Linked DNA regions of Lonchura striata. The protein of the gene in region 2 interacts with the protein of the main gene of each other region in a biochemical or structural test. Links are inferred from orthologs where the notes say so. Each region holds a gene or a part of one and is shown on either strand. Other genes may lie near its edges.

Region 1 (6,936 bases), on a different chromosome or scaffold from region 2:
GATAAGAATCAAGTCCATTATAAGAATGAAATTCCTATGAAGACAAGGGAAGTCTATCAGATTGAAAGCTAAGGAAGTAAAAGGTTGGATTTGTCCTTATGTAGCCACATTTTATTCCAAATAAATCTGAACTCATGTACCATTTCTTGATGGTACCAGTAGTTCTGAACATTCCAGCTCCCTGTCTCCAAAAGCATGAAAGTAGCATAGTACTTGCTACTTTTGCAAGTAGCAAAAGCTGCTACTTGCAAGGTGGACACATTACAGCTGCTAGGAACAGCTGGGAGGGACAGACAGCAACCAGATAGAGTCTGTCTGCATGGGGGAAAAAACCCACATGAGGGTCTTTTGCCTCAACGTTAAAAAGAATACTAATTTATTTTTCATTTATCTCCTTCAATAAAGGAAACATTATTCCTTGGAATGAAGCAGCTTTTAGGTGCCTTTCTGGGCCCCCAGCCTGGCAGTGTCATTTCCCAGCCAATGTCTGTTGTGGTGTCAATACACCTCAGAGGATGGGGCTTTGCTCTCAGAGCAGGGCCCAGCTCCCTCCACGTCTCATGGCTGCCTGGAGGAACCAGCTCCACTTGGCACCAGCGTCCCTCTACAACGTCCCAGGCTCCCAGAGGAGCTCATGCTGGCTCCACACATTGGGTTTTATGGTCCAGATCCCAAATCCCTTCAAGTCATGCCCACAGTCTGCTTCAGATCAGGTTCAGCAGCCTCGTTGTGCAGAGATTTAAGAGCACACTTACCCCTAAATACATGCGCAGTCACACAGAGGTCAAACATCAAGTTGGGCACATTCACAAGGCTTTTGAGAAGCCAGTAAAAGCACGTGGTTTGTAAATACTCGGCATTATTAAATACAATACTTAACAATACTTTTTGTCCCTACTTGCTACTATGCCAACACCATATAATCCATGCACCATTATGACTCAAAATTTAAGATTAGGAGTCCACAATTTCTTTTGTTGTAGGCTTTATAAGGCCATGCAGCATCCCTGTGACACTCACAGGATGCCAGCCCTCCTGCTGGAGTTTTGCTCTGGAGCTGCATGCATGAAGGTGCAGATTTAAAGATGGGTTTATGCAGTACCTCTGTAGCCCAATAAAGAGAGGAGCATAAAGGAAATAAACCCCTTAAAAGCAAATGTAAATATTATTATTTAGGCTATGCTAATTATGGAATTAAAGAAAGAGACAGCCAGCTCTTAATTGTATGGGTACACATTAGGATCTGCAGTGTTGTATGGCAACCCCTTATTAAACTATGACATGTAAGTATTGATTAACTTAGGGGGTGTTGCAGCTTGCTGTAGCTACTGTAGTTACTACACTGCAAGGGAAGAACACAGAACCACATCCCCACATGTTAAATTAACCTGTTTCTGTTAAATACCTGTGGAGGAGGAGAAGAACAGTGCTGCTGTCCCACCCCATGCCCCCAGCATGGCAGGGGCCAGGCCAGCGCATGCAGGAAGGGACATGTCCCTTGCTCCCAGCCCCACTGCAGGAACACCCAGCACCATATCAATGGGGATGAGTAATTAAAATGGAATTTTGTTTTCCAGCACAATGTGACAGCTCACACAGAAAAGGAGCATCTGCTACCAATGGTGGATGTGTTTTTCCCTACCTGCAGCAGATGCCAAGAAGAGCCTGAGCTGTGCATCCTGCTTCCATCCTGACAGTGCCAGGGCTGGGGACATTCTCCTGCTGCTACACCAGCCAACAGTGATGTCCCCCATACCTTCACACACCCATACACAAACCCCAAAATGCGGGCAGGAAGAAACGGTGGATCAGTGCAAACCTTTGATGGAGAGTGCTGGAGGGAGGCATTATTCTGGAATGTCATTGCAATAGTGCAAAAGCCTATTTCTGACAAAAATTCACAGGTGAAACATCATGAGAAAGGTGATTATTCAACCATCCACTGTACCCAACAAAACAAACTGCAACACACCTCTGTTCTCACTAAGGCATCTGAGAAACAAGCTGGGATCTGTTTCTGCTGGAATCACTATAAATATTCCCCAGAGATGCAACCCTGCATTGGTCACTGGTGATGAGTCAGCCCCACTCCATTTTCTGAAAAATTTGTTACCGTTTTTTATTATTTTGCAAATACCTAAAGACTGAATGAGTCAAAGACTTTTCCCCCCTCCAGCAAGAGTTGTTCCCAGCAAGGGCTGTGACAAGGCAGAATTGAGGCAGCTGCTGCTGTGGCCCCACAGTGCTCAGGAACAGAAAGCAGAAACATGGGGATTTTTAAACTAATATAATTCCCCACAAGTACAAACCTCTATTCTGAGAATAAGCAGAATGAAATGGAAGAATAAATCAGTTTGCCTGCTTGACTTGAGGTTTTGGTATATATCAGAACGAATTTGCCAACCCGCAAGAAGGATGCCGGGGGTGCAGAAGAGCGAGGTGAAAAGGATGCCAGAGCCAAGAAGGTGCTAAACGCGGGCAGGTACGGCCACCTTCGACCTTTGCTTCCCGGGAAGGAGCAGAACGATCCCGCACGCTGAAGCGCTCGTCAGGAGCCGCACGGCTGCCGTGGCCCTGTGACCCTTCTCCTCCCGGCACGGGGCAGCGCCCGGTTCGCTGAGCTCGGCCCCGCTGCGCCCGGCGGCATCCCGGGATGCGGCGCCGGGACCCCGCCGCGCCCCGCTCCCGCCGGCCGCGATGTCCCGGCCACCCGCGCCTCCCCAGCAGGCCCCCGTGTCGCAAGGCTCGGCATTACGTAAGGACACCGTTTTATCCCCGTTCCGCCGGGCCGCGGGTGGGCAAACCCGCCCGGGGCGCTGCGGGCTGCCCCCGCTCCCACGCGTGCCCCGGGCCCGCTCCCGCCGCCCGCATCGCCCCGCGGCCCGGGACCCCCTCCCGGGACAGCCCTACCTGCCCCCGCCGCGGCGGCAGCTGCGCTCCGCTCCGCCTCGGCCTCCTCCGGCGGCGGCTGCCCCTGCCCGGTGCCGCCCCGGGCTCTGCGACGGCGGCGGTGCGTGACGGCGGGCGGGACCGGCGGGCGGGACCGGCGGGCGGCGCGGCGCGGCGGGCGGGGCGGCCCGGGCTGCGGGGCCGCTCCCCGGGCGCCCGGCTGCGCCTCCCCGCACCGGCCCGCGGCTGCGGCATCCGCGGGATGCGCCAGCGCCAGCCCCGGCGCCACCCGGGGCATCTGCAGCCGCCTGGGTACCAGAATCCCGGGCTCTGCGGGAAACCAGACGAGGTGACTTTTAGAGGACCCTTCCCAGCCAAACCATACTGATTCGATGAAAGTCCCCATTTAGTCTGAATTGGATAAATTAAAATTGCCTAGATTTCAATTTAGAATTTAATTCTAACTCCCCGTCTTGTTAAAATTTCAATTCCCCGTATCCTGGTTGAGGCAAGAGTGGTGGGAAAGGAGGAAGGGAGGATTTGAAAGAGGATCTGTGAGCAGGTGAGGCTGTGTGTGATATCTGGTGAGTGTCCAAAGGAGCTGTCAGGGGGCCAGGGGCCAGCGAGGCAGCATGACTCCCCCCGTGGGGACTGGCTGTGGGGCGTGGAGAGGCTCTCATGAATTAGGGAGCTGACAGCTTTCCTAACTCTCCCTCAGATACACAAATCGGCCCTCACAGCTCACAGGGAAGCTGGACTGGGTCCAGAGCAACACTCTTCTGGTAACAAAACACTCAGGCAGGGAGTGATCTGCTATCAGAGGGAACAGAGGTGGAACTGGGCTACTTTCAAGATGAGATATCAACCCAGTCCTGCACTGTTGGAGGTCCCTGGGACACACAGAGCATCACCCACAAGACAAACAGGGGAATCATCTCAGCCAGGAAACTGCTGATGGTCACCCTTCTGCCCCCACCATGCAAGGGATATCTGTATCAAAAAAAGAATCATTGCTGAGAGTCTACATCCCACTCATGAGAACATTGTTTTGGTTTGGTTTTTAATTAGTTCTTTCCTGCTTTTTCTCCCTTGCACAGCGTCAATGGATGGCGAGAGTAGGAAGTTTCCCTGCTTGTGCTCTTAGCTGGCTCATACCTTTGCTTTCCCAACAGCATTTCTCTGAAAGGCACTGCTCCCACAGCCGTGGCAGGGCTGTACCCCATCATGTGCGTGGTGCCTGCTCTGGCACAGCCCAGCAGCAAGGTTGGACTCATGCAGCTGAGCACACACACAGCACTTGGGAACTTTGGTCAGGGTTCCAACTAAATAAACCCTGCAAGGAACTTAATGTTGAACTGAAGTATATAAAAAAATGAAGTGGCTTGTGGAATTCAGTGGTATCTCAGGAATGACAGGGTGGTAGAGGGGAAAGGATTGTGTGTGGCCACATATTGACCTTAGAAAGGCAGCTGAGGCAGCTAAGGCTGAAGGAATTGTGCTGGATACCAAATCCACATTAAAATAAAGTGTGCAGCCTACCACCAGGGTAGGAACCCACGGAAACAAGAGGCCTCTTTCAAATTTGGAAAGTTCTTCTAACCACAGTCATTTTGTTGATCCAGGCACCACTACGAGTGTGGGTGTTGTAACCAGAGCACTGAGTTGCAGTCAGGGTGAAGTGCCAGCTCTCAACACCCTCTCAGTTTTCTCTCTGGCAGAAGCTGGTACCTTCCCTCTTTTCCTGCATCCTGGGGCCTGTCAAAACCTGCTCTGGATTTCACTCACTGTCCCATGAAAAAATGTAGCCCAGCAAAAAACCAGTGGGCAGCTTTCTGCTGGGGTGCATTGAACCTCCTCCCCCAGGAGTCAGAGGAGCAAGGGAAGTGAGGAGGCTGCTGGTGCAGAGGCAGGACCCTGGAGGGGAGGAGGGGCACAGGACATTCCCCAACATCCCTTTGACCAGGTCACAAGGGTGCACTTTCACCCTGAGCAGCAGCTCCTCAACCTGCCCCTGCCAAAGTGCAGCCTCAGCTCTTTGCCCTCTGCAAAGGTAAATCTGATAGCAATGAGGGTGATTTTTAGAGCACTATCTCCCAGCCTTGCTCCCTCCCCATGCATCAACCTCCTGCTGCCCCACATGATCAAATATATTATTTTATTACCTCTGGGCATCAATAAGTATTTTATTACTTGTAAACATGCAGAGATTGCAGCCTGTTCCCTACAGATTTTCTCTGAGCAGCCAGACCATGAAGAAACCAGCCCAGCCCCTGCCCTGCACTGAGCCCTCCCAGCCCCACAGGCACGCACAGGGTTTTTGGGAGCTCCTTGGAGTATCATTGGCCGAGATTAATTTTCACAGGCTGCCTCTGCAGTAGAGGCTGAGTGCACAGAATCACAGTCATGGGATGATTTAGATTGGAAACGCCTTGAAGATCATCAAGTCCAACTGTTAACCCAGCACTGCAAAGTCCACCACTAAACCTTGTCCCTAAATGTCATGTCTACACAATTTTAAATCCCTCCAGGGGCTGATGCTGCAAGTGGGTTAAGAATGAGCAGAGGGACAAAGTGTTTCGTATCTGTGAGAGATAATTTTTCTTTAATTTCCAGAACACACATCTACCAAAAGATGGCAGCAAATCTCCTCATATGGAGTTGAGCATCAGTGCTGTCTGCTCTCTTGGGCTCTATTTTTCCTACAGGTTAAAAACTGTAGATTATCCTGGGGAGTGCCAGAAGAACAGGAGAATCACACTAAATGTTCTTAATGGAGAAAATCTGTGCTTGTGACTTCAGTTTAAATTTTACAAATTCCTTCTACAGTATAAGAAATCTCCTAAATGCTCTATGTGTCAGTTCCTTCTTTTATCTTGGCAGTTCTTAGTTTTTAGTAATGCTACAGCTTAATTTATTTTAACAGGTGAAAATAGAACAGAGTGCATCATAATAGATTTGACTAACAATAATTCCACAAATCATTCACATACAGGATCTGTCTAAATGTTCTTTTTCCATCACAGGCTTTAGGTCTTGAGAACTCAGAGCAGCTTGTTTAACACCAGTTTGCTGGAGAAATCTCCAATTGCCCCATCTTTCATTATATAAATCTGCATGTCAGTGGAAGATTATTTTTAAGCTCTGTTCTGCATCACTAATGGATATAGACATAACCCTGGTTCTGATACTATTCATACCAAATTAGCTGGGAATAGATCAAAGTTAGTAGAGTCATTGCAGGTACCAAACTGTGGGCTGCACTCAGCTCTGGTGACAGTCCTGGGGCTGGGCTTGCAGGAGCTGTGCCCTGTGCTCCCTGACAGGGCACATCTTTACAAAGCAAACCACAAAACAAGTGTTTTATTCAGGAGTTAGTGTTGGGAAGCATGGAAGAATCAGCCCTTTTGCATTTCCAAGTATGCTACTGATTCAATTTCTTCATAAAATGGGACCAGTAAATACTATTTTCAATAATCACTTTTACATAGCCAAATTGTTCAAAACTGTCATTTCCTCCAAAAATAACTTACCTGCCTAAAATAAAGCTGTGAGGAAAAAAAAAAAAAAATGCAGCTTGTGAATTCTACATGAACAGCTAAGTCTAATTCAACTGCAATTTCATTCACATCACATAACATGTTTGAACAGCAGAAAAACTCACTAGCCAGAGATCCAAGATGTATTTGTTCAATAAAGTTTGATTTGGCTCTCTTTCATAACAAAAACATTTTCAGCTTGTTAACCTGCAAGGAATCCATTCATCATCAGTCAAGAACATGCTGATGGAATCATAAAATAAGCAAGGATGCCTCGCTGCTGGGTATCACACTATGTAAACATATCTTCATGCCCTTACACTGATAAACTCAAGCCAGGCTGTGTTGCTCAGAGCCAAGCCCTCACTGCCTGCTGTGCTCATGTCAGACAGGTTGTTTCCACTGCAGAAAACCCTGAACTGGGAATGCCTACACAGCTCCACAGAGCATCTCTGTGCCAGAATAAACATTTTTACCCAGGCCAGTGTAAGTGGGCTGCTGCTGGTCTCTG
Region 2 (7,702 bases):
GGGGGAAGGAACTCCGTATTTGGCCAGGGTTATCTGCAGGATGAGAGAGCTAATGGGCCACATACAGCCAGATGAAATGGCCAGCAGATCCCGGGCTACTAATCGAAACCAAGCTCCGCTCCTTGCCTGAGCAGCCCCACCCAGGCAGTGCCCCAGGGCGGTCACATTCCTGGAATTCTTTCAGTCTTCCTGAACTACCTCCCTCTCCCTGGGTGCACCAGCTCTCCCCTTCATCTCTGGGGTCCCCAGCATTGCTGGCCAGGCACGGGGAGCTGGGGAGAGCCTCTTCTCTGTGAGGAGGGCACAGAACACAGCACTGGGCTCAAAGGCTCCTGTCCCCTTCCCAAAATGCTGGGCTCTGCCAATGGACCGTGAGCTGAAGGGGGCCAAGAGGCCTCAGCTCCCAGCAAGGAGGCAATTCCCCACTGTTTAGATGCCAATGCCTGACAGCATGAACTCTTTCCAATGGGAACCGGTAAAGGTTACACCAGCAGGGAATCACTAAGATGCAGAAGCCAAATGAAAACTCAGACATCTGTAGGTCATATACCTCCCGCCGGCAGTCCCAGGCTGCACCGCACAGCCGGACCCGGCATTTCAAGAATGCTTCCTGAAGAAATGCTTATTCATGTTAATACCTCACCACTGAGAGCTCCCAGGGTTTGCTGCTGGGGCAGCTGGGAGCACTGCTCCCTGCCAAGGGAAAAGCAGCTGCAGGCTTAGAGCTCCCCAGCACAGAGGTTGCCTCCACCTCAGCTCTGGCTCCCACCACACCAGCTCAGACAGTCCTAGAAGCCCACCCACCCCCCGGGATCTGCTGTGGGATTCACTTCACCATGAGCAAGGCAAATGCTGTTTCCAGAATGAAGAAGTAGCTGTTACCTCAGCAAACCACCAGCCAGCCCACCACAACGCTGGCTTTGAGAGGAGGAAGCTCCACTCCCTGCTGTTAATGACACCAAGAACATGCCCCAGAGCCATGGCTCTGCTTGAAGAACAAGCTTGGATGACATTAGATTTCCAAAGGCTCTTGGAAAAACAGGTCTTTTACATAACATCCAGGGAGAAGGAGAAAAAGGAGGGATGGAGAAAGACATATCTGAGCACAGACTGTGTCAACACGGTGCGTTGGCCCTCTTGGGACAGTGTTTAGAGCACAGAAGGCAAGACCACACACCCCTTTATTCTCCCTGCAAGGAGTAGGACAAGCTCTAGCATATACATTGCAGGGAGCTGCACTCCAGCTTGACCAGCTCCACTGCCAGCCTGGAGCAAGGGAAGGCTTGGGCAGCCAGCCCCAGCACAGAGAGGTGATCTTACCCATCCGCCATTCTCCTGGATCCAGGGATCTAAGTGGTCGGTCAAGTACGTGGTCATCCAAGACACGATGCGTTTCACCAATACCCTCATCTCCTTAACAACGCTCTCCACGCACAAGGCTCCTCCGAAGGAGAAGAAAGCCACGATGCGGCCCCAGTTCACTCCATCGCGGAACAGTTCGTTCACTACCTGCTCAAAGCTCTGATACGCTGTGCTGGGAGTGATGTGGAGCTGGGAAGTGAGGTCGCTGAACGCCCGCCGGTACCTCAGCTCAAACTCATCCCCTGCCTCTCTCAGTGCCTGCCTCACATCGGCTGCTCGACGGATCTCATGGACTTCGAGGCTGCTCTGGTGCACGGTGGCTCCATTCACTATGTGGCTGGTGGCCGCGTGCCAGGAGGGGCTCCCGTTGAGGACCCCGTCCATCTCGTCCTCCTCCCCTGCAAAGTCAGTCCTGTTCTCATCCTCCTCTTCCAGCTGACTCCAGCTGTATCCTTTCTGTGAGAGCTTGTAGGAAACAAAGTCAATCACTAACTCCCGGTTACTGCTGTACATTTTCACACCTGGGACGCCCTCAATGAGTCCATGGTCCGGAGCACAAGCTGATCAGCACTTAGCAGGTCCCGACTCCACTCCTCTTCCTCGCGACCGATGGAAGCATCTGACCTTAGCACAGATGAGGAGAGAGGCACCGAAACGGTTAATGCCACAGCTCTTAGATGCACCCGCGCCATTACCACCGATAGCTTATCGTTATACTGAGATCACCCCGCAGCTCTACGCCGAGGCTCAGGGCCACCAGATTGAAGCTGCACAGAGAACCGACCACAACCAACCCCCTTCCCCGGAAAGCAGCCTTGAGCCCCGGGGACCCCCCACAAGCTCGTTCCGAGCAGACCCCAGATCTCACCGGGTGCGGGCTGCGCCTGGCAGGCCGGCTGCGGGCCGGGGCGGAGGCGGTTCTTGTTCTGCTGGAGCTTCGGGTCGGCCCGGAACGCGACAGCACCGCCCCCGCCTCGCCCCGCCCGTTAAAGGGCCCGGCGCCCCCGCCCCCTCCGCCGGCGTTAGCCACGGCAGCGGGCGGGCAGCGCTACCCAAGGACCACGGCAGCCCCGGGGCGGCCCGGTTTGATGGTCACCGCAGCCCCCCGCCACCCCGAAGCCCCTCTCCCCTCGCAGGCGGAGAGCATAAACCGCTGAAAGCCGGCGAGCGCTCGGCACCGCGGGAGCCGCCGCACGGCCTCGCGTCCCTACGGGAGCGATTCCAGTCACGGTTAGCGGCGCGTAGCCGCTGGGGCCGGGACGGTGACACGCCGGGCAGCGGCAGGCGGGAGCGCCGCAGGGGGTACCCGGTCCTCCCGAGCAGCAGACTGCCCCCCACCCCCCCACCGGACCGCGTCCCCCGGAGCCCCGCACCGCCCCCCCGGCCCCGGGACGGCCCCACCGGTCGCCGTACCTGGGGGGCGGGGCCGCGCACGAGGGCCGACAGGGCGCCCGCGCGGCCGACACGCCAGCCAATCAGCGGCCGCGAGGGGCGGGGCCCGGCCGCGGCCGCTCCCTTTGGCCGAGCCGCGCGTCACTCAAGCTTCACCCTACCCCGCCCCTCACCTCAGCGCCCGACTGAGGGTCCGCGTCCTTCCCGGCTCTGCTGGGCGGGCCCGGCTGGCAGCGACGCCGGAGGTCGCCGGGAGCCCCGCCGGGGCTCGGCCCGCTCAGCAGTCCCCGGATCCTTTCCACATCGCCCGCCGAGCGGCCGGGGGGGTGCGGTAGGGTGGGAGGGGGCAGCAGAGGGGCGGTGCGCATGCGCACAGCGCTCTGAGGCTGGGCGAAGAGCGTCGGTTGGACTGCGCGGGGGCACGGCGCGCACGCGCCACGCCGGCTGGGCCGGTGCGCATGCGCGAATGTGCCGGGCGGAGGGCGGAGCTCCGGCGCCCCCTGCCGGCCGCGGCGGTGGCAGCTCGGGCCTCCGCTCTCGCCGCGCCCTGCGGACACGGCCCTGCCGCTGACACGGCTGCAAACCCCTCAGAGCACTCCGGGATTAACGTGGGGTGTTTTGTGTCTCCACAGTGCTCAGGGAGCCCGTGCTGGGATTGTGAGGGGAGGTTTATGGGGGTAGTGCCGAAGCTGTGAAAGCGACTGTGGCAGCAGGGGCCTGCCCCGCCGTTAACAGCTGGCTACCCATCCCTCTGCAGCACTGCGGGGAAGATTATGCACTACTTGGGGTCGAAAACGCCACTGCGCAAATGGCACTTTGTCCTCACAGCATCGAGAAACCTAGCCGGGCTTACCAGACGGCGGAAGCCGCCTTTCCCGGGCCCAGCAGTCCGAAGGCTGATCTGCTGAGGAACAGCGGGTGGAAGCCGGGCAGCGGACACTGATACAGCCGCCGTACCTGAGCCCGGCTCCGGCAGGCTCCTGCCCGGCCCCGCGGCCGTACCGGCTGACACTGGCTCCGGGGTCCCGCCCGCCAGTCGCTGATAGGCCACCCGGAACGACACTCAAGGCATCCCCTTTTCTGATTGGTCTACTAGGTCCCGCAGTGCGTTATGTGAGTTGTGGTTCGGTTCTCGCCCGGTCATTGTGGCGCTGTGCAAGCACGTACTACATTTCCCGTCAGACTTTGCAGGGAGAGCGCAACTGCGTTGCTTGGGGTCTGATTATCCGGGTCCTGAAGGGGTCCAGCCAATCAGCGCGCCTCAAAGGGCGTGTGCCGGGCGCTGATTGGTGAGTTCGGACTGCGGGGTCCTGTTTGAAATCCGTTAACGGCGGCGGCAGAGGCGCCGCGCGGAGTGGCGGCGGCGCTGCTGAGGTGAGTGCGGGGCGCCGGCCGGGCACCCCCGGCCTCGCCTCTCCTTCCCAACCCGCAGCCCTTCTCCATATCTGGTCGTTCTCTCGCTGCGGCTGTTCCCCAGGCCTACTCCGAGCCCAGGTATTGGTAACGGGGCCGAGGGCTCGGCTGGGAAACGGCGACGGAAGGCGGCTCCGGGCGCTCAGCCCGTGGCCGGAGCCGCTATCGCGGTCTGGCGGGCGGGCTCGTAACGGAGCCCCGGGGGCTGGTTACGAACACCGTGTTGTCCGGGGAAGCCGAGCCCGGTGCCCCCGGGCGGCAGCGGGAGGAGCCGCCGTGGCGGGCGGTTCCCGTTCCCCTGGCGGGGATCGCGGTACCGGAGCTCCCGGCGTGTGCCTTACGGTGGGGTGGGTGCCTCGGCAGTGAAATAAAGTTCTAAGTTTTTCAACAGTCACGCAATCTGATGAAACAGTGTATTTCACGGCGGAAAGCTCTGTAATGTCTCAGTCCAAATCCCCCTTCCCAGGAAAAGGAGGGAAGCAAACCAGGCAAAACCTGGCCCAAGTATCAGAAAAAAACATTCGGGGTACTATTTTTATCTGGGGCTTTTTTTAAGCTTGAAGACCTTCAACTTAATGTAACAATTAGTTGAGGTTATGGTAGCTAAAAATAATTTTATTTTCCCTGAACGTCTATTCTTAGAATGTACCATCTTTATGTCTTCTGAAACTTGTGGGATCTTTTTTAGGGAGCACGAGATGTCAGGGCTGTTTATTTTTGGGAATGGGGGCGGGTCTGGGCCGTTAGCAGAGCAAAGGCTGTGCCTGCCCTTCGCCCCTGCCTTGGCTGCCGGTCGGGGTGGTCTGCGGAGCTTTCTGCGGGCTCAGCTCTCACCTGAGGAGAGTTAAAGGCCTTTTCTCCCAGTTTGAGAATTAAATGATGGAACAGCAGCGTTCTGGGAGGTAGTGGATCCATTGCTGATTGTGTGCTGCAGAAAAGCCTAGTTGATCTTTGAGTAAGGGGCACAAGAGAGGAGGGAGAAGCTGTAGATCCAGAGTGTGTTGGAAGTGTTCACTTCCACCCTGCTCAGGGAAAAGCAAGGATGAAGGGTGACTTTCTGAGGCTGTCAGTGTCACGCAGAGGGAGTTCAGATGATGGCTTTGTGGTGGGATGGTTCTCGCTAGGCTGTTGTAAATCCATTTCTAATGCTCCAACTTACATGTTAAACCCTGGAAAGCATCCAAGACCTTTGGATTATTATCCCAATAAAAAGAACAGAAAACTCTAAGGTGCAGGACAATGAAGAAGCTGCCAGGCTGAATTAAAGCTGCCTGGTTAGTGCAGCCTCCTCTGTTTAAGTGGCAGCTGGTGTTGAAGCCCAGCAGAAGGCCCTGGAATTGCTGGAGCACATTCCCATGCAGCTGCCTCGGCCTTGGGGAAGCTTCTCTTGTTCATTCCTGGTTTCCTCTTTTGGGTTCTGAGGCATGTGGATCGGCTGCCTTTGTGTTTATCTGCTGATGTAACTTAGACTAGCTTCTTGTGTGTTTGTTATTGTTTATTGTGCTTTCTGATCCTGTTAGGATTTGCCATAAGTAACATCTGTCACTTGTGAAGTTCCAGTGGTGTGTGGTGATAAGGCATCATCTCCAGTTCACCAGGGCCTTATCTACATTGCAAGGTGGCAAGAAAGAGCAGAACTCTGCCTTCCTCAGGATCCAGACTGAGTTGGGTTGGAAGGGACCTTAAAGCTCATCTTGTTCCAAACTCCCATCACCATTCTGGGCAGAGACACTGGACCAGCCCTATCCAACCTGGCCTTTAACACTTCCAGGGACAGCCACAGCTTCTCTGGGCAACCCTTGCCAGAGCCTTACCACCCTTACAGGGAAGAATTTCTCCCTAATATCCAATCTAAACCTCTCCTCTTTTAGTTTGAAGCCATTCCCACTTGTCTTATTGCAACCTTTTGGTGTCCCTATCACTATCCTGTCCTTGCTACTCTCCCACACTCCTCCATTTTCTCTCCCTCTGACCTTGATTTCTCATGTTGGAATGCTGCATCCTATCTCCAACCATGGCCTGAATGGCTAGGAGGCTTCTTTGTCCAGGCAGATTGTGCTGTTGGAACAAAATTCACAATTTCAGTGAGACAAACACACTGAACACATCTGTGATGGAATTGTGTCAGAATTTTAAAGCTAATTTGGATTACAGCGAGGTGTGAAGTTATTCCAAAATACCTATTGCACTTGCTGTTGGATCAGTCTTATTCTGGGATAGGAATGCTTGTTCCAATTTACTGTAATCCTTTTTCAAAGCTAACTAATCTAAACCATGCCAAGGCACTCTTCTGGAACGTGCCAAAGTGTAGTTACTCAAAAGAAACCTGATGTCTAGAGGAACCCACTGCCTATTCCTCCCTGTGGATACAGCTGTGCTGCTCTGGAGGCACTTTTAGGTCAGTGAGAGAGGAGACCTAGAAAGAAAATGAAGATTTTAATTAAGTAGTCACTTTATAGAAGGAATTTGGGGTCTTTTTGCAGGCGAGAAGATCAGATCTTCCTTTCCTGCCTCAGCAGCTCTGCAAACCAGGTGAAAGCCGATCCTGCAGAACGGGGGTGAGGGTTCCCCGGCTGGCTCGCTGCAGACACCCGTGTCGACACAGGAGGTGATGGATGTGGGGGAGAGCAAGGTCATGCTTTAAGTCCACGCCGAGCTGTGTAGGATTACAGCGTGCCTGTAATCACGCCTGGGAAATGCACACAGTGCCTGCTAATTAGGGAAAGTCCCTATTAATGAGGAAAAATTTCCACGCCTCCTTTCCGGTGGATGAGTGCTGCAGTGGAGAGAAAGAATTTTGGATTGAGATAAATGTGGTTGAGCTGTCAAAATCACAACTGTGTGTTTTAAAATGCCTGCAGGGAGTGGGCAGCGGGTGTTGGGCTGTGCTTGGCAGAGCCTGTTGGCATTGCAGATACCTCATGGTGGGCACAGGAGTGATAAATCACCGGGGCATTCCTGGCTGATCCTGTCCCAGCCCGAGTCGGTGGGTGGAGGAGCAGGATGCCTCTCAGTGAGCTGCTGCTTCACCCTCAGTCCTGTTCCGGGCAGGACTTGGAGGATATGTGGGGATTTCAGAAGCAGATGTCATGAGTTCATCTGACTGAATGAACTTTCTGGAGCGCAGTCACAATAACTGTTATCTCCCAGTTGTCTCTTTCAAGAAACAGAGTATGAAACTGAGGCAGCGATACAATCCTTTTCTTTTCCTGACTATTCTCTTCTGTCTGGGATAGAGGGGAGAGAGAGTGGTCAGCAATGAGGTCGATGATGAGGGTGGTGACACTGTGGAATATGGGCTCTACTCAGTAAAAAGCTGCAAACTGCAGCAATGTAGCAGTGGGCACAAGTAGCTGTGAAACATGATGCCCAGAGCTCTGACTCTGACTGGAGAGGGTGAGGGGAGAATGCAGATGACGCATTTGATTTTTAAAAAAGTCTAAAGTGTTGACAGAAATTCTATCTTGATTAAGGGCGGTAGGAAAGCATTTGATTCCAGCCATGTCTCGAGCTCAGTTACAGTTGGTTTTGGCTC

Evidence for each region.
Region 1: the proteins of BCL2L1 (region 2) and VDAC1 form a complex in vitro, tested with the Homo sapiens proteins (4 studies listed by BioGRID). The link is inferred for Lonchura striata from reciprocal best matches to the Homo sapiens genes BCL2L1 and VDAC1.

What each region holds. Positions count from the first base shown.
Region 1 is NC_134617.1:9,728,461-9,735,396, reverse strand, and holds the start of VDAC1 (non-selective voltage-gated ion channel VDAC1), read right to left. Parts: upstream 3,020-6,936; 5' UTR 2,911-3,019; intron 1-2,910. UniProt on the Homo sapiens protein: Non-selective voltage-gated ion channel that mediates the transport of anions and cations through the mitochondrion outer membrane and plasma membrane.
Region 2 is NC_134619.1:7,570,032-7,577,733, forward strand, and holds the start of BCL2L1 (bcl-2-like protein 1), read right to left. Parts: upstream 3,096-7,702; 5' UTR 2,928-3,095; intron 2,830-2,927; exon of another isoform or gene 2,776-2,829; intron 2,362-2,775; exon of another isoform or gene 2,231-2,361; intron 1,987-2,230; exon of another isoform or gene 1,982-1,986; 5' UTR 1,876-1,981; coding exon 1,321-1,875; intron 1-1,320. UniProt on the Homo sapiens protein: Potent inhibitor of cell death. Inhibits activation of caspases. Appears to regulate cell death by blocking the voltage-dependent anion channel (VDAC) by binding to it and preventing the release of the caspase activator, CYC1, from the mitochondrial membrane.